Linked DNA regions of Macaca fascicularis. The protein of the gene in region 4 interacts with the protein of the main gene of each other region in a pairwise test. Links are inferred from orthologs where the notes say so. Each region holds a gene or a part of one and is shown on either strand. Other genes may lie near its edges. The genes, in order: NINL, DVL3, VIM and KAT7.

Region 1 (4,919 bases), on a different chromosome or scaffold from region 4:
AAGGCCAGAATGATCAACATGAGGTCCCACAGGTCGTGCTTAGTGTGGGCTGGGGAGATGCCTCCTGAACTGGCTTGCCTTCATTGTCGAACGCCAAGTCAGCTTGGCCATGAGCCACCCATGCTGCATTCTGAGGGTCTGGGGGTGTGTGCGCCTCTGCCTGGGTCAGCGCACTTCTGCCCTTCCAACCTGCCTTGGGTTTCTTTTCACAGCTGAGACTTTCCTGGTGCTGGCATGGACTCTCTGGGCCCCTGCCTCTGTGAGGCCAGGCTCCCACCTCTGTGAATTCAAGGGTGGAACGTCAAAACTCCTTTGTCGTCCCTCTCCAAGTGATGATGAGTGTACTGACTGGGGCTGGCCAGTTGGGCCACGTGGGTGCAAGGCCTCAGAGTCCTGGGTGTCGGGGTCCTTGGTTGCATGTCCCGGCTTTCTCACCTGCACAGCCATGTGACCTTGGAGAGGTCATGTGAAGGGGCTGCACCTCTGACCTGTCCTCTGAGAGCTGAGGATGGTCTCATGAGCTGTTCCTGTGAGGCCCTCTGAGCACAGGCTGGGGAGGATGGAGAGCACATCAGCAGCGCACGGGCGTGAGGCTTTGGACGCTGGGTGCTATGGGAGTCTTCCTGACGTGCAGGTCCCAGAGGAGAGCGGCTGCCACACCACCACGACCTCATCCCTCGTGTCCCTGTGCTCCAGCCTGCGCCTCTTCTCCAGCATTGACGATGGTTCTGGCTTCGCTTTTCCTGATCAGGTCCTGGCCATGTGGACCCAAGAGGGGATTCAGAATGGCAGGGAGATCTTGCAGGTTTGGAACTGGGTGATGCCTGAGCTGGACAGGGAACCTGGGGGGCCCGTCTGCTGCAGAGGAGGATGGATGGAGCACCCCAAGCCAGGGACCCAGCAGGGGTTTGTGCTCTGTGCAGAGAATGCCATGCAAGGAAGTCCAGGTAGAAACCTATATCTTTTAATTTTTGCTACTAAAATATAGGACATTATAATTTAAAAGGATAAGAAATAAAATACAAAGATAGTGTGAAAAAGTCAATTTGAAGGTAGCCTTTAGTGGCTTAGACATTTTCCCTGAATGTTGGGCCAAGGAGGTTAGATGAATGGAAGGAAATTGCCTGTTGTGATGTCGATGTCTGTTGGGCACCACTGTCACTGCAGTTACTGATGAGCTCAGAGTGAGCCCGAACTCTCCTGGAGCCCCTGCCTGGCTGGTTGGGCTGTTCTCCCCCATGGCACCCACTTACCCCAGGCCCTTCCCGCCATGGGCCAGGTGTCAGGAGGCGCACCCTTCCCTCTGTGTTCTGCTGGGGCTGCCTGGGAGGGAAGATGTGGTCCTCGCATGGGACACAGCTCCTCACAGGCTCAGGCTTCCCAGAGGGACGCAGGCCAGCCCTGGAGATTTGGAAGGAGCTCTGCCCTGGGCACAATTTGGTGACACCTGTGCAGGGGCAGAGGTGTGCAGGGGCCCAGCATGGGTGAGGAAAGACAGCCTCACGAGGTACAGTGGACTAGACTTATTATTTTCATTACTTTCCATTGTTAGAAAGGATGTCAACTGAACAAAAACCTATTAAATAAGAAAGAAAGCCTACCTGCCCCTCCCCCATTCCCTGGAGGGGGTGACAGCTGTTGGTGTGGTGGGCGTCCTGCAGAACTTTTCCCTGGCACATGAGAGATGCATATTATTTATACATTCTGACAATATATATATATATTTTTTGCAAAATTGGTGTCATACCGTTTGTCTTGCAAATTTATGCAACCCTTCACTTTTCCTATGAAAAATCTGAGCATTGGCCGGGCGCGGTGGCTCAAGCCTGTAATTCCAGCACTTTGGGAGGCCGAGACGGGCGGATCATGAGGTCAGGAGATCGAGACCATCCTGGCTAAAACGGTGAAACCCCGTCTCTACTAAAAAATACAAAAAACTAGCCGGGTGCAGTGGCGGGCGCCTGTAGTCCCAGCTACTCGGGAGGCTGAGGCAGGAGAATGGCGTGAACCCGGGAGGCGGAGCTTACAGTGAGCTGAGATCCGGCCACTGCACTCCAGCCTGGGCGACAGAGCGAGACTCCATCTCAAAAAAAAAAAAAAAAAAGAAAAGAAAAATCTGAGCATTTATATGCATCGATGTCCTCTTGCTGCTATGCTGGCATTTCTCTGAGGCTGGACTCCTGGAGTTGCACCCTGTAACTCTTGGAGGCTCTGTCATATTCCCTGAGAAAATGTCCTGTTGGCACAGACAGACAATACAGGAAGGAGCCCAGACAGCCCTTGAAACAGTCCACTCAACTCCACGGACCAAGACCCTCATAGGCCCAACCTCATCTGTTACTGAGTCCCCCAAGATGGCAAAGCCAGACCTGTACAGCTGGCCTCACAACTGTCCTGAGAGCCAGAGGCGGAGGCAGGATCACCAAAAATCGCTTGCAGGAAGGGCAGAGAGCACAGGTCTCTCAGTTCCAAGATGCCTGACACCTGACTCCACAGCTCTGGGAGTTCCCTGGCTGCTGTTGTGCCCTGGCTCTGATGAGTACATCTTGCCTCTGCCCTTTCAGAACTTATTCTCTTTCCCATTTGCACTAGAGCTGCTGGTGCTGCTCTGCAAAGACACCCTGGGTGGCTTCTCCCTCACTTCATAATAGATTGCTGCCAAATTCTGCCTTGCAACTCAGTGTCATTTCTGACCTCAGGCTGCTGTGGCGGCTCTGTCCCTCTATGCCATCCAGTGACGTGGCGGGGAGCGTGTGCTTGTGTAGGGACAGCTTTCCAGGCAGCTCCCCAGCCTCTGCCAAGATGCCATTGCTCCTCAGGAGCTGCTGGGAAGTGGGCAGCGTGGAAAGTCAGCCCCTACTTCACGGGAGACTCTGGGCCGGGTTTCTCCTGGCACCTGCTTCAGCCACCCTGCCATGGTGCCTGCCGCTGGCCTGAGCAGGGCGTTTGTAGCCACAAGTGGAAAGCAGAGCCAGGAATACCCGAGGCGGAAAAGGCAGAGGCAGAAAAAGCAAACGCGACAGAACGTTAGCTGCCGCTCCCTTGAGCTGAGGGGCTTAGGGTGTGTGTGGCTCTATTTTTTGTTGTATCAGTAGAATGCCAGCTGTTCTGTGCTTTGAAGTTTGTGAGGTGTATTCTTCACACTTCTGAGGGGAAGAACAGTCCGCTCTGGAAAGCTTTTTGGTTCTAAGCCTGAGGGCTGCTGTGGGGACCCTCTCCATCTCTCTAAACTCTTCCTGGTGGCATGAGCTGCAGGGCAGGCCTCATCGCAGGGAATCCCAAGGCTCACATCCTTAAAACAGATTATTTCAGAGGGAAAAGGGCCTTGTGCTCTGGCCTCACAGCAGTCCCCATGAAGGGCCTGCAGGGGACTTGCCCCTGCCTGTGTCTGACACTTTGTCCAGGAAGAGGAATTCTGTCTAGCCTGGGCCTATGCACCCCTGAGGCAGAGGCAGGAGGACCAGGCCATTGACAGCCCACCAGAGTTGCGAGGGATGGAGGAGGAGCACCCCTCAAGACGCAGAGACCTTGGCAGACAGGAGGGGCGGGTGCTGCCTGGGACAGTCATGCTGGGCTAGGCCCTGGACCAGGGAGGGAGCAGAGAGGTGTCTGCTTGGGGAAGTCCCTCAGCCTCTCCTGCTTACCAGGCTTGCTGCTTCCAGAGCCTGGACTTCAGTGTGGACGAGAAGGTGAACCTTCTGGAGCTGACCTGGGCCCTTGACAACGAGCTCATGACAGTGGACAGTGCCGTCCAGCAGGCAGCCCTGGCCTGCTACCACCAGGAACTGAGCTACCAGCAGTAAGAGGCCGCAGGGGACTGGGGAACGTGGCAGTGTGGCTGGCCAGGTGGGCCTGGAGGGGTGTCTGGGACACACAGGATACCAGTTGGCTCTTGTCCACACCACATGGTCAGTCCTGGGGCAGGGCTCTGCACACCGTCTGTCCCGTGCTCTCTGGTCCCTGAAGCCGGCGCTCGCAGAGGGATAGGAGTAGAATCTAGCCACGGAGCATGGACAGGTGAATGGCAGCCGCTCATTCATGTGTGTGGGCTGGGTGGGGCCTGAGGACCTGGGCTGTCTGAGTCCACACAATTTAAGGCTTGCTGGCTTCCCTCCCACTTGTTGAGGCTTGGGATCTGTATGTTGGGGGCCCCCACTGAGCCCTTTTTATTGAGGTTTCTAAAGGACAGACCTGAGGCCCCGCCTCATCCTGCTGGTGCAGGCGCTCACCAGCGCCAGGTGGGGTCCTGCCGCTGCCTCTAGCGCCAGGGGGCTCCCAGACTGGGCTGTCAACAGGAGGAAGAAAAGGTGCTTTTCAAACGTGGTCACAAAGTACCCCGTGAGGGGCCGAGAACCCATTCCCTTTTAATTGTGTCTGTTTGCTGTGGCTGACCATTCAGGCCATCCGTCTGCTAAGCAGATTTGCAAAAAGATTGTTGTGTTTTTGTCAATGTTCTGAAGCTGCAGAAAAGATTGACAGAAACCACAATCTCAGTCCTAAAGACTGCATCTGTCCACATGCTGACAGCGGAGCCTCTGGCCTCAGGCAGCTCTGCAGATAGAACCAGAGAAAGGCTTGACCAGGTCCCTCCCTTGGCCTTGGGACAGGAAGGGAGAAAAGCTCCTTCGGCGGGGAAATAGTCACTGGAATAGCAGGTGCCACCAGTGATTTACACAGTGCCTCAGCCAGGTCAGGGTGGCCACAGAGCTGAGACCACACACACCCACTGTGTTGTGCTCTGGTGACTCACTGTGTGCTCACTAGGGTGCTGGGATGCCCATGCAGGGCTAACAGGTGGCCAGCCTCCTCCCCGCCATGTGCCCGTTACTGAATTAGGCACTTGTGATCCACACCCAGCTGCCGATGAGAGGGCTCACAGACCAACTACCACACACCCTGGGGCTGCCTAAGCAACGTGG
Region 2 (4,919 bases), on a different chromosome or scaffold from region 4:
AAAACTCTTATGTGGCCATTTTCTCTTCTGTTCACTCAGCTGGTGCAAGGTTGGAGAATTTGGAAGGCTGAAATACCAGACAGCCACCAGGTATGTCGCACCTGAAGTTCATGAAGCACAATAGTGAACACTACCTTCAGCTCAGCCTAAACTAATCAGAACAGAAGCTAAGAGTAGCTTAGTTTCTCCTTACCTTCTCAGATGAGGTCATTCTTTAGGAGCAAGGAGCAGTTTGGGAAATTTAGGTAAAGTTTTACCCACCCCCTCACCTAGAACTAAATACCCACTAAAAGCCTAGAATGAGTGCAGGGCCTGCCAGAGATTCCCTATATAGAAGGTACTTGGCCCTGATTACACTTTCCTGGTGCTGCTGGAGTAGGTTGGAAGGGGCCAGAAGCAAAGAACAACTTAGGTGCCTCCCCCAGTGCTCTCCACCCCGTTCCCGGCCAGCCCTGGCTCTTCATAGCTCTGTCTCACTCCAACAACTCATCTCACGGACTCTGGCGCCCCCAGGGAAATTATACATTCCTTAAGGGCAAGGCTGCTCCCACCATTGTTGGAACTACCTTGAAGAGAGTATAAGGGGCCACCAGAACTGAATACCTGCCTGGGACACCCTCTGCTCACACACTATCGGTACCAGGTCCCAGAGCCTCAAGAGAGCTACGACTGCCCTTGAGGCCACCCGCCCTATTAAGATGAGACATTCCTCCAGCCCTAAGGAGAGCCAGCCCAACCTCCAGGAGAGAAGTCAGGACACAGGGCTCTGAGGCTGCCTGTGGAGCCTGCAGCCAAGCCATCAACCTGTCAAGAGGCCAGCAGCCAGCATGGGGAGTGGTGGTGGAGGAAAGCAGTGGTCTGTGTCAGCTGTTGCCCAGAGCTGGTGGCGACGTGAGCCTCCAGGCTGTTGTTTAGAGGGAATGACTGTGTGCTCCTTGGGGCTACCTAGGCCTCCAGTTCTTCCCTTTAAGCCTGCAACACCCCTAGCAGAGACCAGTGAGAAGGAAAAGGCCTGTTCTGGCAGTATCCTCCTGAGCTGGGCCTCTGGGAGGTTGTGAGGATTGAGTAAGATGATGCTTTAGGAACAGTCAGCATGGTACCAGGCAGAGCAGGCACTTAGAAAATGCCAGGCCCAAGAGGGAGATGTGGGCCAGGTGAAGAGGCTAGATTGGACTCTTCTTCCACCACAGAACTCTCAGGCCTTGAGTTGGGCCCCCGGCTCTGCTGTCCCCCAATTTGGGTTCCCCAGAGTCTGCTGCCACCTCCCTGGCTACCTCCCCACTCACAGCCAGGAGACAGGGCAAGAAGGTGAGGGAGGCACATACTGCCGCAGAGGTCGCCGAAGATGTAGTAGCACTGCTCGGAGAAGGTGATCTTGTTGACGGTATGGCGGATGAAGCCAGCTTTCAGCAGGTTGCTAGCATACTTGCGGGCCTCCCTCCGGTCCGTGAAGCCTTCCACATTGTGGTACAGCCAGTCCACTACATCTGAGCCTGGGGGCAAGGCTGCCAGTTGATGGGGAGGCCCATCTGACTTGGACTCATCTGGCCTCACAGAAGCTATGAGGCTGGGGCTGGCTCCAGCTCAAAGGAAGGGTCCAAGGGAAGTCCTGGGCCCTCCAGCCTGCCCTGCCCCATCACTCCCCACCCACCCTGCATCCCACCATGGGGCTCTCTCACCGATGAAAGCATTAGGGATGGTAATCTTGAGCCACATGCGGTCACGGACCTCCAACCCTGATTCAGGGGAGGCCATGGCTTTTACGATGGCAGCCATGTCACTGTGGATGGACAAGTGGAAGTCGTCTAGGCCTGGGGGTGGGAGGCAGAATGGTGAGGCAGAAAGGGGCTTTGGAGTTTGGTAAACAAGAGTTTGCATTCTAGCTCTACCACCTAGTAATTATGGGACCAATGCTGGGAAAATTACTGATTTCTTGAACTCTCAGTTTCCCCTTCTATAAAAAATGGGGATTTTCATATCTACTTTACAAGGCTATTTGAAGAAAGGATTAAATAATATAAATGCAGATGCTTGGCACAGTGTGCGATATACATGTGATGATAATCGAAATGGCTGCCGTTTACTGAATGCTTACTTTACACCACACATCGCAGTGGTGCTTCACTTAGATCCTCTCATTAAACCCACAGGAACCTGGTAGTTTATTTCGTGAGTCCCATTTTATAAGAGGAAACTGAGGCGCCCTGGGTGCTCATACAGGTTCAGAAGCAAACACTGTTTAGTGAGGGTTGGAGTGCCCACTGTGGGGGAGTTGCAGTGTGGGGTTGCTAGAATGAGCCGAGCCCCATCTCCGGCCCTCTCTGATGCTCAAGCAAGAGTCTCCACATGGACCCTCATCAGTCCTCCCACCTGGCCCTGTCTGCTGGGCCCAGGACACAGGGTTGGACACTCACGCTCTGTGTCAGGGATGGAACTGGTGATGGAGGAGCTGGTGGAGGTGATGGTGCTCAGGGAGGGGCTCATGCCGTATGCAGGGAAGGTGCCGGTCATGGCTGCAGTGTGGGAGACCCAGGCCGCAGGGTCAATGGGCCGGATGGGCTCGCCTGCAGGGAGGATGAGGAGTCATGGGCTACCCACCCTGCCCACTGCTGGGCCCAACAGGATAGATGTGGGGGCTCTGGGTGAGAGAAGAAAGGAGAGACAGTGCTCATGTATGTAAGCACCAGCTTTAGGACTGAGTCTCCCATCCACTTACTCCTGGGCAATGTGAAGCAACCACGTGGACTTGGGTCCCAGCACTTGGCTACAGTCAGGGTGATGGGCCTGAAAACAAGGGTGTCCTGTGAAGGCAGGATGTGTACAGGCCAGACCAAGCCCCTTGCCCAGTGCCCCATTCCATCCATACCCCGGTTTGTGCACAATCTCCCGCAGTACCCGGACTGCATCGTCATTACTCATGTTCTCAAAGTTGATCTCGTTTACCTGGGAAAGGACCAGGAGTGGGATAAATAGCTGTGTTGGGGAGGATGAAAGGGGAACTCAAGTTGGTAGGTCAGGGAGTCTTCCCTCAACCAAGAAAGGGCCTCTGAATGAGCAGGGTGCAGATAGTAGGACACCTCCCGGCTCTCTATCCACACCACCGCCTAGGATGGGCACTGATACCTGTAACAGCATATCTCCTGGCTCGATGCGTCCATCAGCAGCCACAGCCCCACCCTTCATGATAGAGCCAATGTAGATGCCGCCGTCACCACGCTCGTTGCTTTGGCCCACAATGGAGATGCCCAAGAAGTTATATTTTTCTATAGAGAGCAATTTAAGACCTTAAGGGGGAGCAAGGTTCCTACCCGCATTCCCAGCCCATTAGAAAATGGAAAGGGACAGGAACTGAACTGACATTTACTGATCCTGAATCAGGCACTGCACTCAGCATGCTCAACATGCTTCCATGGAATCCTTGCTGGCTGTAAGGTAGGGACTCAGTCCCATTTTACACAGCAGGCAACTGAGGTTTAGTGAACCTAGAAGATGACTTTCCTAAGCCAGTAACTGGCAGAGCCAGGAATCAAACTCAGATTTAAATCCCAAAGTTGGGCTCCTTTTACTATATCCAGCTGCCTCGTAAAGAGAGAAATCAGAGAGAAAGGATGCAATGGCTGAGAGATGTGAAGGAGTGGGCACTCAGAAATTACTTCCTCCAGGAATCCTTCCCTGATGCCATTTTCTGCTTCCACAGCTCTCTGTGCTTATCTCTGTCATAGCCCTGATGGTGAGACACTAAAATGATCAGTTTATGTATCAGCTGATATTTATGAAAGAGAGCTCCCTGAGGGCAGGGAACATATTCTGTGCCTCTCTGAGCTCCTCAAGTCTGCCCAGTGTCTGGCACATAGCAAGTGCTTTAGAGTGCTGTTTCCTCAGACTCACCCATGTTGAGAGTGACCGTGATGATGTTGAGTGACATAGTGGAGTCCGTGATGCTGCTGAAGGATGAGGACTGAAATAGACAGAGGCCCTGAGCAGTAGGCAGGGGTGGCAGGAATTCACTCCCACCTGGCTCCTCCTCAAGGTGAGTCCTCAGTGTTGCCCCCTGCCCCAAGGTTCTAAACAGTGCACTAAGGGGATGGGATCTAAGGAAAAACAAGCCTTGGCCCAGCCTAGGAAGAGCTTACAATCTACCTCCACCCATCCCTAGCCTCCCAGACCCCATACCCGCTCAATCCGAGAAACCTTCTGCTTCCGCCGCCGCCGCTTGTGTCTTCTCATCAGGCGTGAGGCGCTGCTCTGTTCTGTGGAGCTGCTGAACCTGTGGGGCCCACAGTCGTTCCCCACCAGGCTGGCCCAGCCCTGCCCCCATGAGAGGCACTGCAGGGCCTGGGTCCCCAACACAAAGCCCGTAAGCCTCCCAGGGCCCTGCCTCCTCAGGGTTTAGGGCTCCTCCAGGGTCACCTGCCCCACAATCCCCATGAAACTCAAGCCCCACCTGCTGGTGGAATCATCCTCATCTGAGTCAAAGAAGCTGGTGGTCTCCAGCTCGCTGCTCATAAGGGTGGATGAGCTATCATAACCCCCTGGTTCTCGCCGCCGCTCCCCCTTTGCAGTTCCATTTAGCCGAGCTGCTGCAGGGGATGGAAGCAGTTGGGTTTACACAGTGCCCAGTGCAGGAGTGGAGGTAGAGAGGTAAGCCAGGGGCTGCACCGGGGCCAGGCACATCCTGAGCTCAGGAAGTAGGGCAAGGAGGTGGGTAGCTGGGTGGAAACTGTGGGGAGGGTGTGAGGTACAGACGGTGTCCATGTTCAGGAAGATATACCATGCTCTGGGCCATCCCTCCGGCGTGGCCGCTCTCGCTGGGCAGACACCAAGGAGTCCGTCTCTGTGTCATTGTCCAGGTTCTCCTGGCTGCCCCCACCAGCATGAGGGCTGCAGGGAAGAGACTTGATGGGGGAGGGGCCAGGCTG
Region 3 (5,684 bases), on a different chromosome or scaffold from region 4:
ATCCATTGTACAAGGCTAGATTTATATTCAATAATAACCCAATTCAGGATATGCTGCCAAAGATTCAGTTCAGGAAAAATTGGAAAAGAAATGTAACTCTGAACTGTATTTTCTCTGCTTTCTCTGATGGATTTTTCTTCTAAAACTCCTTTGACTCATCCTACAAAGGCGTGTCTTTTTCGCTTGCCACTGTATCCGTTCAGTTGGCCTGTTTCAGAATGACTGGTCAAACTTGCAGAGAATGAAACTACATGAAGGATTTTTGCTGATTCAGCTGTCCTTCTATGTTTCCATTTGTAAAGCTCAACATTCCAATTCAGAACATGTAATCTTGCAACTAAGATTTTATTTCCTCTCAAAAGGATGCGTGAGGATTGTTTATCTTGTCAGCAATTATATTTGGAGTTCAGTTTATAGCCTTATGGTCTTAAACTGTTGAGACTTTTCTATCACCTTAGTGGAAAAATGAATGAAGAGTGGGTGATAAAAAGATCAGACTTGATGAAAACATTCATTTTTACTTGCTAAGCCCTAAGAAATACATAAAAGATATTTTACTAATCTCCAAAGAAAGATCAATGTGGTATTACTATTACATTGAAGAGAATGAGGAATTTTGCTTAAAGAGAATGAGGAATTTTGCTTAATCTCGAAACAGAGGATCTTTTGTATTGATGTTGTTTTACGTTAACTCACTACTCTGCAGAAAACATTACAGGTATGATAATCAAAAATGCTCAAGGACTAAAATGAACCACACATTGCTGTGGTTAAATTAATTTGGTAAATGTATTTCAGTTTCAAAATGTTGTACTACACTATTCATCTGAGAGTGCTTTGTAGTTAATCCCAGTAAATATTCCAGGGAATAAAACTATAGACTATAATGGGGATCTTCTGGCTTCTGGATTCCAATTTTAAGTCAAAAATTCTATAAGTCCATCCAATTTTGGTGGGAAAAAAAAAAACGCACAAAAACCCTTTAGTTAAAATTGAATTTTTCAGCCTTAGATTTATTACTATTATTATTATTTTTTATGGCGAGAGTGCTAAAGAATACAAGAATCCAATCAAGAAAGGACTTTCAAAATGTGAGGTATGTTTGTAGCTTTAAAAACTTTTTACATTACATACTTCTCAAGTCTGGGCCAGATATTAGATAACGGATGTTAGCAAATACTTGTGTCCAATTAGAACCGTGCTTACATCACTACATATTCAATAAGAATGTAGCCTGCTGCAAAGCTTCCCCGGGAACACAAAGACTCCTATTATTTCTGTCCACAGCCACCACATTTGCCAGAATGTCTGTATCTACATTCCATAGTGAAGCCCATAGAAACCATTAATACCCCTCAGCCGAGGGGACAGATGGCTCCTTTTCACCCTTATTAGATCACAAAATAGTTGTGCATAGTGATACTTCCATCGAACTTTAATGCCACAATAGAAGTTGCAAAGAAGAAAAGAAACTTGCTGGCTCCATTCCAGTTGGAAACTAAGTTTTCTTATCTTCCAACACGTTTTCCATTTTAAACTGTAGGGCATAACTGCGCTTTTTGTGACCTTGTAAAAATTAAGCGACTTGACTTTGGCAAACCACAATCTAAAATTGTGACCGTTCGAAACCAGAAGGTCAATGTGTTGCAAAACTGTGCAACATTTTGAAAACAAAGTAGAAAGTTAAAAGATTTTTCTTTATGTCCCAAGGAACGGCTTAGAAATCATTCAAGGATCGCTTGAACCCGGGAGGCAGAGGTTGCTGCGAGCCAAGATCTCGCCACTGCACTCCAGCCTGGGCGACAGAGTGAGACTCCGTCCCCCAAAAAAATCGTCCAAGCGGTTTTATTAATATTTTTTCTAATAATGAGAAGCTCCAATCTGTGGTCTTCCCGCCACTAGAGGGCTTTACGCGCAGCCCTGAAGTTTTGCACTTTTTAGACGTGGGTTAAGCAACTTTTAGAATTGCTCGTGGGTTGTGTTGGGTGGGGTCAGGTAGCTGCGAGTGGGAAGAGAGCCTACAAACCTGTCTGAAAGATTGCAGGGTGTTCTCGGCTTCCTCTCTCTGAAGCATCTCCTCCTGCAATCTGAAACAGTTGCGCATTAACCAAAGGGGAACTGGGAAACCGCCAGGGGCGGGGCGGCCACACCCAACCACCACGTAGCCGCGCTGCGCCTCCAGAGCCGCTGCGCCACCTCGGCGCAACTAGCGCTTGCAGCTTTCAGGCCTGTGGCCCTCGGCAGGTTTCAGTGGGACCTTGGGCACCGCGCAGAGGGGCAATCACGGTCGCCGCACAGACCTGCAGGACAGCGCCGCCATACCCACCCCCGAGAGACCATCCCTTTGTCTCGCTCCCTCCACCGCCTTCCCCTCCTTCCTTCGCCCGCCCGGCGATTGGCCGCCCGCCAGAAGGGGCAGGAAACTTTATAAAAGTTTGGAGGACTCGCTCTCATTGTGCCCAAGGGCCTTCAACTGCACACAAAGTGGTAGTTTTAAGAAATCTGTAACTTGAAACGGAGCGTCCTTGGGCAATGTGTGGGGACAGAGGGGGAAATGCGAACTGCAAGGTCTGGGTTCTGGGCGGGGCTGCGCCGCCACAGCCACAGCCGCTGCTCTCCGCAGTCCCCCCGGCAGGCCTCCCCCGGGCCTCATCCCCAAGGGCGTGGCAGCCCTGGCGGGGGCGGGGGGCGTTCCCCTCTCCCTCCAGCCCCCTCCCGAGGCCCAGCGACTTGCAATGGGCGCAGCCTTACTTCTCCCGGAGGCGCATGATGTCCTCGGTCAGGTTGTCGCGCTCCACCTCGACGCGGGCTTTGTCGTTGGTTAGCTGGTCCACCTGCCGGCGCAGCTCCCGCATCTCCTCCTCGTAGAGGTCCCCCAGGCGCGACTTGCCCTGGCCCTTGAGCTGCTCGAGCTCGGCCAGCAGGATCTTATTCTGCTGCTCCAGGAAGCGCACCTTGTCGATGTAGTTGGCGAAGCGGTCATTCAGCTCCTGCAGCTCCACCTTCTCGTTGGTGCGGGTATTCTTGAACTCGGTGTTGATGGCGTCGGCCAGCGAGAAGTCCACCGAGTCCTGGAGGAGCCGCACCCCGGGCACGCTGCTCCGCAGGCGCACGGCAGAGGAGCGCGTGGCATACACGCCGCCCGGGGACGAGGCGTAGAGGCTGCGGCTGGTGCTGGGGCGCAGCGCGCTGCCCAGGCTGTAGGTGCGGGTGGACGTAGTCACGTAGCTCCGGCTGGAGCTCGGCCGGCTCGCGGTGCCCGGGCCGCCGAACATCCTGCGGTAGGAGGACGAGGACACGGACCTGGTGGTCATGGCTGCGGAGGGTGGCGATGGGCTGGGCTGCGGCGGTGGCGCGGACTGGCTCCTAGAGAAGAGGCGGACGAGGGCGCGGTGGGTGTGGGTGGTGGGAGCGCGGCTGAGTCTCTGGCGCGGGGACCTCGGAGCGAGAGTGGCAGAGGACTGGACCCCGCCGAAGGCGCTGTTTTTATAACCGCATTAGGAAGGAGGGTCCCCTCCCACTGCCATCCCAGCGGCGGAGCGCGCCAGCCAATAGGGACCTGGCGAGAAGCGGGGAGGGTGGGCGGGTGGGGTGGGGGCGCCCTCGAGCCTTTCTCCTCCAGGGCCTGGGACTGGGCATGGTCCCGTTACTTCAGCGCTGGGCTGGGACTTTTGGGGCTTTCCGGATGATAGTCTGAGCTGGGCTCACCCTGGGGTGCTGAAAAAGGCGGGGTCGCGCGGTGAGGGGGGATCCGCCCGGGACTGAACCAGAGGAGTCCGGTGGCACCGCGCCAGAGGGGCGTGGGAGGAAGCGCGCGGCTGCCTCGGGGCTGCGGTCAGGTGGGGAGACCCGCGAGCAAAGGAGCGGGAAGAGGGAAGAGTAAGGGATCCGGCAGATCTGAAGTCGCTGAGAAAGAAACAAAGAGCGCCTGAGATTGGAACGCGGGATGGGGGCGCGCACAGCTCAGGAACGCAGGGCTCAGGGCCCCGCGCAGCCTCGCTCACCGCCCGCTTGGAAAGGGGGGCTGCTCCGGCCCGCGCCTCTGTCAGTCGACTTGCCTTGGCTGGGAGATGTTGGGGGGGAGGGGAGGCTCTATCGAGGGACCTAACGGACTCAGTCCAGCTTCGGACGGCGGGAGTTGCCAGGCGGCGGTGGCAGAGGAAAGCCCGAGGGAGAGGGGTGGGGTCGCTGAGTCACCGGTGGTGACTCACCGCGCCCTGCTGTCCCGCCGATTGAGGGCTGCTAAGCGGTTTAGGGGAAACCGTTAGACCAGATTGACTCGAGTCTCCGCGGCTCCGCGCGTGCTGCTGGTTCCCAGTCCTACCAACTTAGAGCTGGGCCATCGCTTTGATGTGTGCGGTGGGGCCCTTTGGGGGACAAGAGCGCCTCTAAGTTCTTATAACTCGCTAAAGCCTGACTTTGCTCGATGTGTGGACTTTTTGTTAGTAAGAAACTTCTTCAGCCTTTGAAGAGGCGCCATACGTGGGCCTCCTGGATCACGATTGCACCGGGAAGGTTTTTCTTGCAGAGTCCCCGCCCCCGTCCCTCCGGTCTCCTCTCGCTCTTCCCCCTCCCCGCGTGAAACCACACCCAACTTTTTAAACAAGATCTGAAAATTCTGGGTGAAAGAGGAAACTCAACGTCCGTAGTTTCAAAATCGAACTCAGTGATCAGTGGTTTTCACCCTGGTGGAAGTTATTAAAGGTATAATTTGAGCCAATGAAATAATTAATTAGGTGTTGCTTAAAAACCCCAATTTGATTAATGAGTTCAAATGAAAGGCAATTATATAACACAAATGACAGAATGTTTGGCGGCAATAGATTTGTGTGTTAATTTTAGGACAGCAATGCACAGTGCAGGGTTCACGGTGATTTGTCTGGGAAATGTCACAGGTCCTGTTTTCCAGAAGAATTCGTGCAATTGACCTTGGGGTGAGGGGGGATAAAACTGTCCACGGAGCAAAAAACTTCGTGTCCCAGGCACGGAGGGAGTGTTCAGATTCGGTCATCTTAACCTTTCTAGGGAAATCACTCAATTCAAGGGCTGTTGTTTCAATATTAGTAACGAGCAGAGCTGAGTACTCACCAGCCAAGGGAGATAAAAGGCGGCTATGTAAATCAGTCTTCTTGTGATTTAGTAGCAATTGAAAAAGCACAGGTTTTTTGAGTATTTAGATTTATGGTGTACTGAAAGGATTAACTACAGAACCACTGTAAAATCGATTCTGCAGTGGATAGGAGGGAAAAAAATGCATTTCTTTCTTTCTTTCTTTCTTTTTGGTGGGGGCAAGGGGTACTGCAGGTTACCTGGTATTTAAGAAAAATAATTTAGAGGCCAATGAAGAGCTTCTTCTGACTTCTTCGGACAAGCCTCTTTTAGGCAATATTTTGTTTACCTTATCCCGGTTCGTTCTTGCAAATGGTGCTGCCAAGGTGGAATTACAGGACTCTCTACTGCCCAGCTCGCCTGCTGGGGCTTTCTTTTATTCTCTCTTTCACTGGGAGGCTGCAGGTCATTCCCCAAGAGCATTCCTGGGGCTGGGTGCCCTGGAGGACAAACCTATGCTCTGAGTTACATCTTGCTTTCTGAGAGCCCTTTATTCAAGCCACTGCTCAGCAAATGTCACCATTGTGAGTTTGCCTGGAACCCTTAGAATGAGAAAGGCGATCTCTGTATGGGAG
Region 4 (5,531 bases):
TCCTGGGTTCAAGTGATTCTCCTGCCTTGGCCTCCCAAGTAGCAGGGACTACAGGCACCCACCACCACGCCCAGCTAACTTCTATATTTTTAGTAGAGATGGGGTTTCACTATGTTGGCCAGGCTGGTCTTGAACATCTGACCTCAGGTGATCCACCCGCCTTGGCCTCCCAAAGTGCTGGGATTACAGACGTGAGACACCACACCCAGCCATGAAGATAATTAATTCTTACTGTATTAGCACTAAGTATGAACCAAGATCATTCGGAGATCAGTATCACAAAAAAAGGTCCACTGTAGTGAAAAAATCGTTGGTGCTAGACCTCATTTAACTTTAGAGTAGCTTTTGTTAAATGTCTCCATGAAAAGCTATCATATTTTTTTAAAACCATATACCATCTCAAAATATCATGGACCACAACTCTGATCCCAAAAGAATTTAAGCAGAAAAAGACGAAAATTGTTACTGCGTATGCCATCTATCCTTGAAGTTTCTCCACATGAAAGCCATCTATCTTTCAAAAAGGCAGCTTGCACATGGAGACTCATGGGTATTCAAAAACAGTTGTTTTCAAAACCATCTTTTCAATGAACAATTATTTGTCAATTATTAACCTCCTCAGGAGTTCTTTCTTAGCCATAAAGATAACTTTTATCAATTGAGCACTAACACTATACCCTTTACAAAACCAGAAAGGAAAAAATATTTGCTAAAAATACAAAGATTCACGCTGTAAGTCCCAATTCTTTATTCAAAACCCTGAGGGCCAGTTGTGTTTAGAATTCGTATTGTTTTTTTATTTTTAGAAGGGGAGTACTTTGCATGTATCCTGCAAATATTGGGTGCAATAACAAAACATAATACTTCTGCAGCAAAAGATATAAACAGTCACACTAAATGAGACACACAAAAACCGTAAGTAGCCTCAGGACAGATTAAGACAGGTTTGCCGCCAAACAGGTTACTAAAAAAATGTACATTTTCAAGAAACTCCTGGTATTCAGGAAATTAAGAAAGAAGACAGGCCGGGCGCGGTGGCTCAAACCTGTAATCCCAGCACTTTGGGAGGCCGAGATGGGCGGATCACGAGGTCAGGAGATCGAGACCATCCTGGCTAACACGGTGAAACCCCGTCTCTACTAAGAAATACAAAAAATAGCCGGGCGAGGTGGCAGCGCCTGTAGTCCCAGCTACTCGGGAGGCTGAGGCTGGAGAATGGCGTGAACCCGGGAGGCGGAGCTTGCAGTGAGCTGAGATCCGGCCACTGCACTCCAGCCTGGGCTACAGAGCGAGACTCCGTCTCAAAAAAAAAAAAAAAAAAAAAAAAGAAAGAAGACTGGGGCCCTATTTCAAGGCACCAATATTATTCCTGCATTTAGTGAGCCTTAACACACATACCACCGGCTGGGCGCGGTGGCTCATGCCTTCAATCCCAGTACTTTGGGAGGCCGAGGCGGGTGGATCACCTGAGGTCAGGAGTTCAAAACCAGCCTGACCAACATGGTGAAATGCTGTCTCTACTAAACACACAAAAATTAGCTGGGCGTCATGGAATCCGCCTGTAATCCCAGCTACTAGGGAGACTGAGGCAGGAGAATCGCTTGAAGCCGGAAGACAGAGGTTGCAGTGAGCCGAGATCATGCCATTGCACTCCGACCTGGGCAACAAGAGCAAAACTCCATCTTAAAAAAAAAAAAAAAAAAAAAAAACCATACATACCACCCACCAGCTGAGATCATTTTAGGAGACATTAAAAAGCATACATTTTCAGCCTGAAAAACCTCTGTGAAGAGAAAGATTTCTACTGAAATGAGCAAGAATACCACCCAGTTTTCCAAATATCTCAAGGGTAACCTGCCAGGAAATGAGCAAGAATCACAGAAAATGTCTAAAATAAGCAAGAATCACAGAAAACAGCTAAAATGAAGGGGGAATCTTAAAAGTCACCATTACAGTCTAATTATCTAGATATTTAAAGCGTTGATGTGAGACTTGTTCCTTCCTGGCTTGATCCTGGAACTCAGCTCTTCCCTGTGGCTTTTACCAGTATACCTCCCATTGTACTCCAGAGCAGACCAACTGCTCCTTCACTTCCTTCCTGTAACACTTTGTATACACCTCCAAGCAGAGAACTTACTAGATCGTCCTAAGGTTATTCATGTCTGTTTTCTCCTATCGGGCTGTGATACCCTTAAGCCAGGGATCACGTCTAATAAATTTCTGAATCGTCAGCAACCACCGCGCAGAAAGTAATCAATAGACATTTATTCAATTGAGTTAGATTTGTTCTATATTCTGGACCTGCCACTGCCTGAGTGGCTTGCGGCACTCCATGGACCTCCGTTAGTTCAACTGTAAGAAGTAGGGGGCCATTCCTGGGTGACCTCCTAAGTCCCTTCTAATTCTAGAAGGTTTCGGTTTTTGCCAACTGCATTTTCTAGGAGCTGTCGAACTAGCAAGTAAAGATTACCGCTTGGAGGCAACTGGCCTGAGTGGGATCCCATGGGAGTGGGCGCCGGCTTCCCACCACCCAGTCTTCTGCTTTGTTGTGCCCCTCACCTGGAAAGTAACGAGGCCTCCAAAACCCCGCCTCTGCACCTATCAGCGTCCCCGCTCGGAAAGGCGGGGATTCGGGCCACCCAATCGAGGTCCGCCTAAGCCGCGCCCCCACAGGACAGACTGCCAACCCCGACCAATCAGGAGAGGAGGGATCGTTCTCTCCAGCCAGTGGGAGAGCGCTAGGGCCGGGGCCAGACACCGCCCCCGCACGCGGGGAGGTGACCGTTGAGCCCAAACAGGCGGCGTCACCAGCCAATCAATATGCTTCCTGACGTTTCAGCGACCAATTAATAAGAACGCCTCCGATCCAGGCAAGCAGAGGGCGGGAATAGTTGCAAGCATAGGCCGAGGCCAGGGTCGGGCCCACATTTTTCTGTTGGATATGGACAGAAGAGAGGGTGGCTGAGCAAGGTTCGGGGGAGCGGGAAGTTGGGACCCAAGCACTGTGAGGCGTGGCCAACTGCGTCACGGTGCTCAATCGACTGTCCTTAGAAACCCGCCATCCCTCCTCTCCCGTTTCTCACCTTCCTTCGCGGCATTGCCGGCGGCTGCGGCCCGACGGTTCCGATTCGGGCAGCGGCGGCAGCAGCAGCAGGAACGGTGGCTCCGGCGGGCTCCGTGGCGGCCTCTGTAGCAGTCCCAATCCTGCGGACGATCCCTAGTGCCTCCTGCCTCTCAGCGTCTGGAGCGTTCTGCGCAGGCGCCGCGGGCTGAAGCGCTTTTTCCTTCACTTCCGGCTGGGTCTCGCGTCCCCTGACGTTACGGGCCAAAGAGGGTGCTGGGAGATTAGATCCTTTTGGTGAAGCTAGTGGGCGCCATTTTGAAGTTGGGCAGAAAGTGACTCCAGTGGTGGAATCCGGGGCCAGCCATTTTTAGTTAACGTGAGTGGCGCTGTTTGTGGGCGTGGGTAGCCATTCTTGTTTGGGGCAGAAGCCTGACAGTTGATGTAAACGGTTCTCATCTTTACCTAGGGCAAAATTTCCCTTCCCGGTCGTTTTAATTTCCAGAGTCGAGGAAGGAAACCCCCCGGAATCCATCAGGTTGCTGAGATTAGATTTAACCCCTTCGTTGCCTGATTGTTTAAAGGACGTTTCCGTTTATTACATAAACTCAAAAGTTGCAGAGGGATGTTTTGTGAAAGAAACTTTGTATTTTAAGAACCATCCTGGTGCCGAAGGGGTGGGAATGGGGAATTGAAAAAGGAACTAAAGGGTAGCGTCCGCCATCAGGAAGTTTCCTGTCTGGTAGAGGAGACATTGTCCTTGCTCTTAGCTAACAGCAAGTAAGTTAGTTGATGTCGCGGGGAGGAGGCAAAACCATTCTCCAGAAGCTGCAGCTCAAAGAATTCCCAATTTAGCTCTGTGGCGAGCGCCCACTTCCTTCCCGCACTGTGTTTGGGTTTGAGACCACTGGGGGCCCTGGGGTGAAAAATGTGATTTGAAAGTGTCCCGGGAATGCAGTACCAGAGTCAGAAAAGCATTGAACCCCATTTAGCTCAAATGACCTCTGGAATCCAGATGCTTGAGGCGGAGGAAGAAGAGGGAATGTTTTTACTGAAGCTGAAGCCCCCAAAAGAATGGAAATTTGAATAATAATGAGAGGGCCTAGGAAGGAGAGGTTGGTCACTGATACTAGGCTGAAAGAAGACCCTTAAGAAAAGGCTGGAAAGTGGAGAGCAGGCGTTGAAGATTTAACCTCTCTGGAGGAAAGGCCTTGAGAGGACCAAGTCTTGCCCAATTGCGGCTGGGTGGAACCCAGGCACGCTCAGTCATTAAGTTAGGATCCCTAACCCCAATTTCAATCTGAGGCCCCTTTAGATGGAGATTTCCCCCCGTTAAGATGGAGATTTTCCCCAGGGGCTAAAGAACAAAGTAGCAGAAGGTAAACATCTGATTGATGTGCTAAGTAAAGAACTCAAAAGAGTTAAAGTTCCAGACCCTTAGCCAGCACTCTCCTTGGGGATGTCCTGGGCCAGTGTTGACACAGGCAGCTTTTAGTATTTAATACTTAGCTTTTAGTGCTTAGTATAAATACCTTTGATAACCTACTTAGGTTGAACTGCACGTAAGAACTTACTTGAAAATGGCTCACATTACTTCTTCCTTTGTAGCCCCTCACCACTTAAGCATTTAATTTCATACCATTACTCTGTTATTTTGCACTTACTGATATGTTCCTGAGGTTACATTTGAATGTTCTGGCTCCCCAACTGGTGGTAAGAATCTCTTATATTAAGAGCATATCTCAATTATTTCATACCATCCTTCTTTTTTTCTCTCTCTCTTCTTCTTTTTTTTTTTTTTTCTTCCTAGATAGAGTCTTGCTGTGTAGCCCAGGCTGGAGTGGTTGAATGTCAGCTCACTGCAAGCTCCGCCTCCTGGGCTCAAGGGATTCTCTTGCCTCAGCCTCCCAAGTAGCTGGGACTACAGGCGTGTGCCATCACACTCGGCTTATTTTTTGTAGAGACAGAGTTTCACCATGTTGCCCAGGCTGGTCTTGAACTACTAATCTCAGGTGATCCGCCTGTCTCGGCCTTCCAGAGTGCTGGGGTTTTAGGTGTGAGCCACCACTCCCAGCCATACCAGCCTTTCTTTTTTTTTTTTTTTTTTTTTTGAGACAGAGTTTTGCTCTTGTTGCCAGGCTGGAGTGCAATGGCACAATCTTGGCTCACAGCAACCTCCGCCGCCCGGGTTCAGGCGATTCTCCTGCCTCAGCTTCCCGAGTAGCTGAGATTACAGGCGCCCACCACCACGCCTGGCGAATTTTTGTATTTTCAGTAGAGACAGTGTTTCTCTATGTTGGTTAGGTTGATCTTGAACTCCCGACTTCAGGTGATCCACCTGCCTCAGCCTCCCACAGTGCTGGGATTACAGGCATGAGCCACCCCACCCGCCCCTTACCATCCTTTCTAGTGGTGCTCAAACCTTGTTCTTCCCACAGTAAATTCTTGCTGCTCAGTAAGAATATCATTA

The links.
Region 1: the proteins of KAT7 (region 4) and NINL interact in a two-hybrid assay, tested with the Homo sapiens proteins (2 studies listed by BioGRID and IntAct). The two-hybrid records come from large-scale screens. The link is inferred for Macaca fascicularis from reciprocal best matches to the Homo sapiens genes KAT7 and NINL.
Region 2: the proteins of KAT7 (region 4) and DVL3 interact in a two-hybrid assay, tested with the Homo sapiens proteins (2 studies listed by BioGRID and IntAct). The two-hybrid records come from large-scale screens. The link is inferred for Macaca fascicularis from reciprocal best matches to the Homo sapiens genes KAT7 and DVL3.
Region 3: the proteins of KAT7 (region 4) and VIM interact in binary tests that used the Homo sapiens proteins (3 or more experiments, as listed by UniProt). The link is inferred for Macaca fascicularis from reciprocal best matches to the Homo sapiens genes KAT7 and VIM.

What each region holds. Positions count from the first base shown.
Region 1 is NC_088384.1:61,899,908-61,904,826, forward strand, and holds part of NINL (ninein-like protein), read left to right. Parts: intron 1-634; coding exon 635-805; exon of another isoform or gene 806-926; coding exon of another isoform or gene 927-947; intron 948-3,647; coding exon 3,648-3,799; intron 3,800-4,919. UniProt on the Homo sapiens protein: Involved in the microtubule organization in interphase cells. Overexpression induces the fragmentation of the Golgi, and causes lysosomes to disperse toward the cell periphery; it also interferes with mitotic spindle assembly.
Region 2 is NC_088376.1:96,083,825-96,088,743, reverse strand, and holds part of DVL3 (segment polarity protein dishevelled homolog DVL-3), read right to left. Parts: intron 4,896-4,919; exon of another isoform or gene 4,882-4,895; coding exon 4,772-4,881; intron 4,581-4,771; coding exon 4,445-4,580; intron 4,268-4,444; coding exon 4,174-4,267; intron 3,959-4,173; coding exon 3,889-3,958; intron 3,264-3,888; coding exon 3,124-3,263; intron 2,944-3,123; coding exon 2,867-2,943; intron 2,785-2,866; coding exon 2,717-2,784; intron 2,565-2,716; coding exon 2,415-2,564; intron 1,812-2,414; coding exon 1,680-1,811; intron 1,494-1,679; coding exon 1,326-1,493; intron 1-1,325. UniProt on the Homo sapiens protein: Involved in the signal transduction pathway mediated by multiple Wnt genes.
Region 3 is NC_088383.1:18,135,677-18,141,360, reverse strand, and holds the start of VIM (vimentin), read right to left. Parts: upstream 3,460-5,684; 5' UTR 3,315-3,459; coding exon 2,752-3,314; intron 2,088-2,751; coding exon 2,027-2,087; intron 1-2,026. UniProt on the Homo sapiens protein: Vimentins are class-III intermediate filaments found in various non-epithelial cells, especially mesenchymal cells. Vimentin is attached to the nucleus, endoplasmic reticulum, and mitochondria, either laterally or terminally.
Region 4 is NC_088390.1:56,920,118-56,925,648, forward strand, and holds the start of KAT7 (histone acetyltransferase KAT7), read right to left. Parts: upstream 3,256-5,531; 5' UTR 3,099-3,255; coding exon 3,084-3,098; intron 1-3,083. UniProt on the Homo sapiens protein: Catalytic subunit of histone acetyltransferase HBO1 complexes, which specifically mediate acetylation of histone H3 at 'Lys-14' (H3K14ac), thereby regulating various processes, such as gene transcription, protein ubiquitination, immune regulation, stem cell pluripotent and self-renewal maintenance and embryonic development.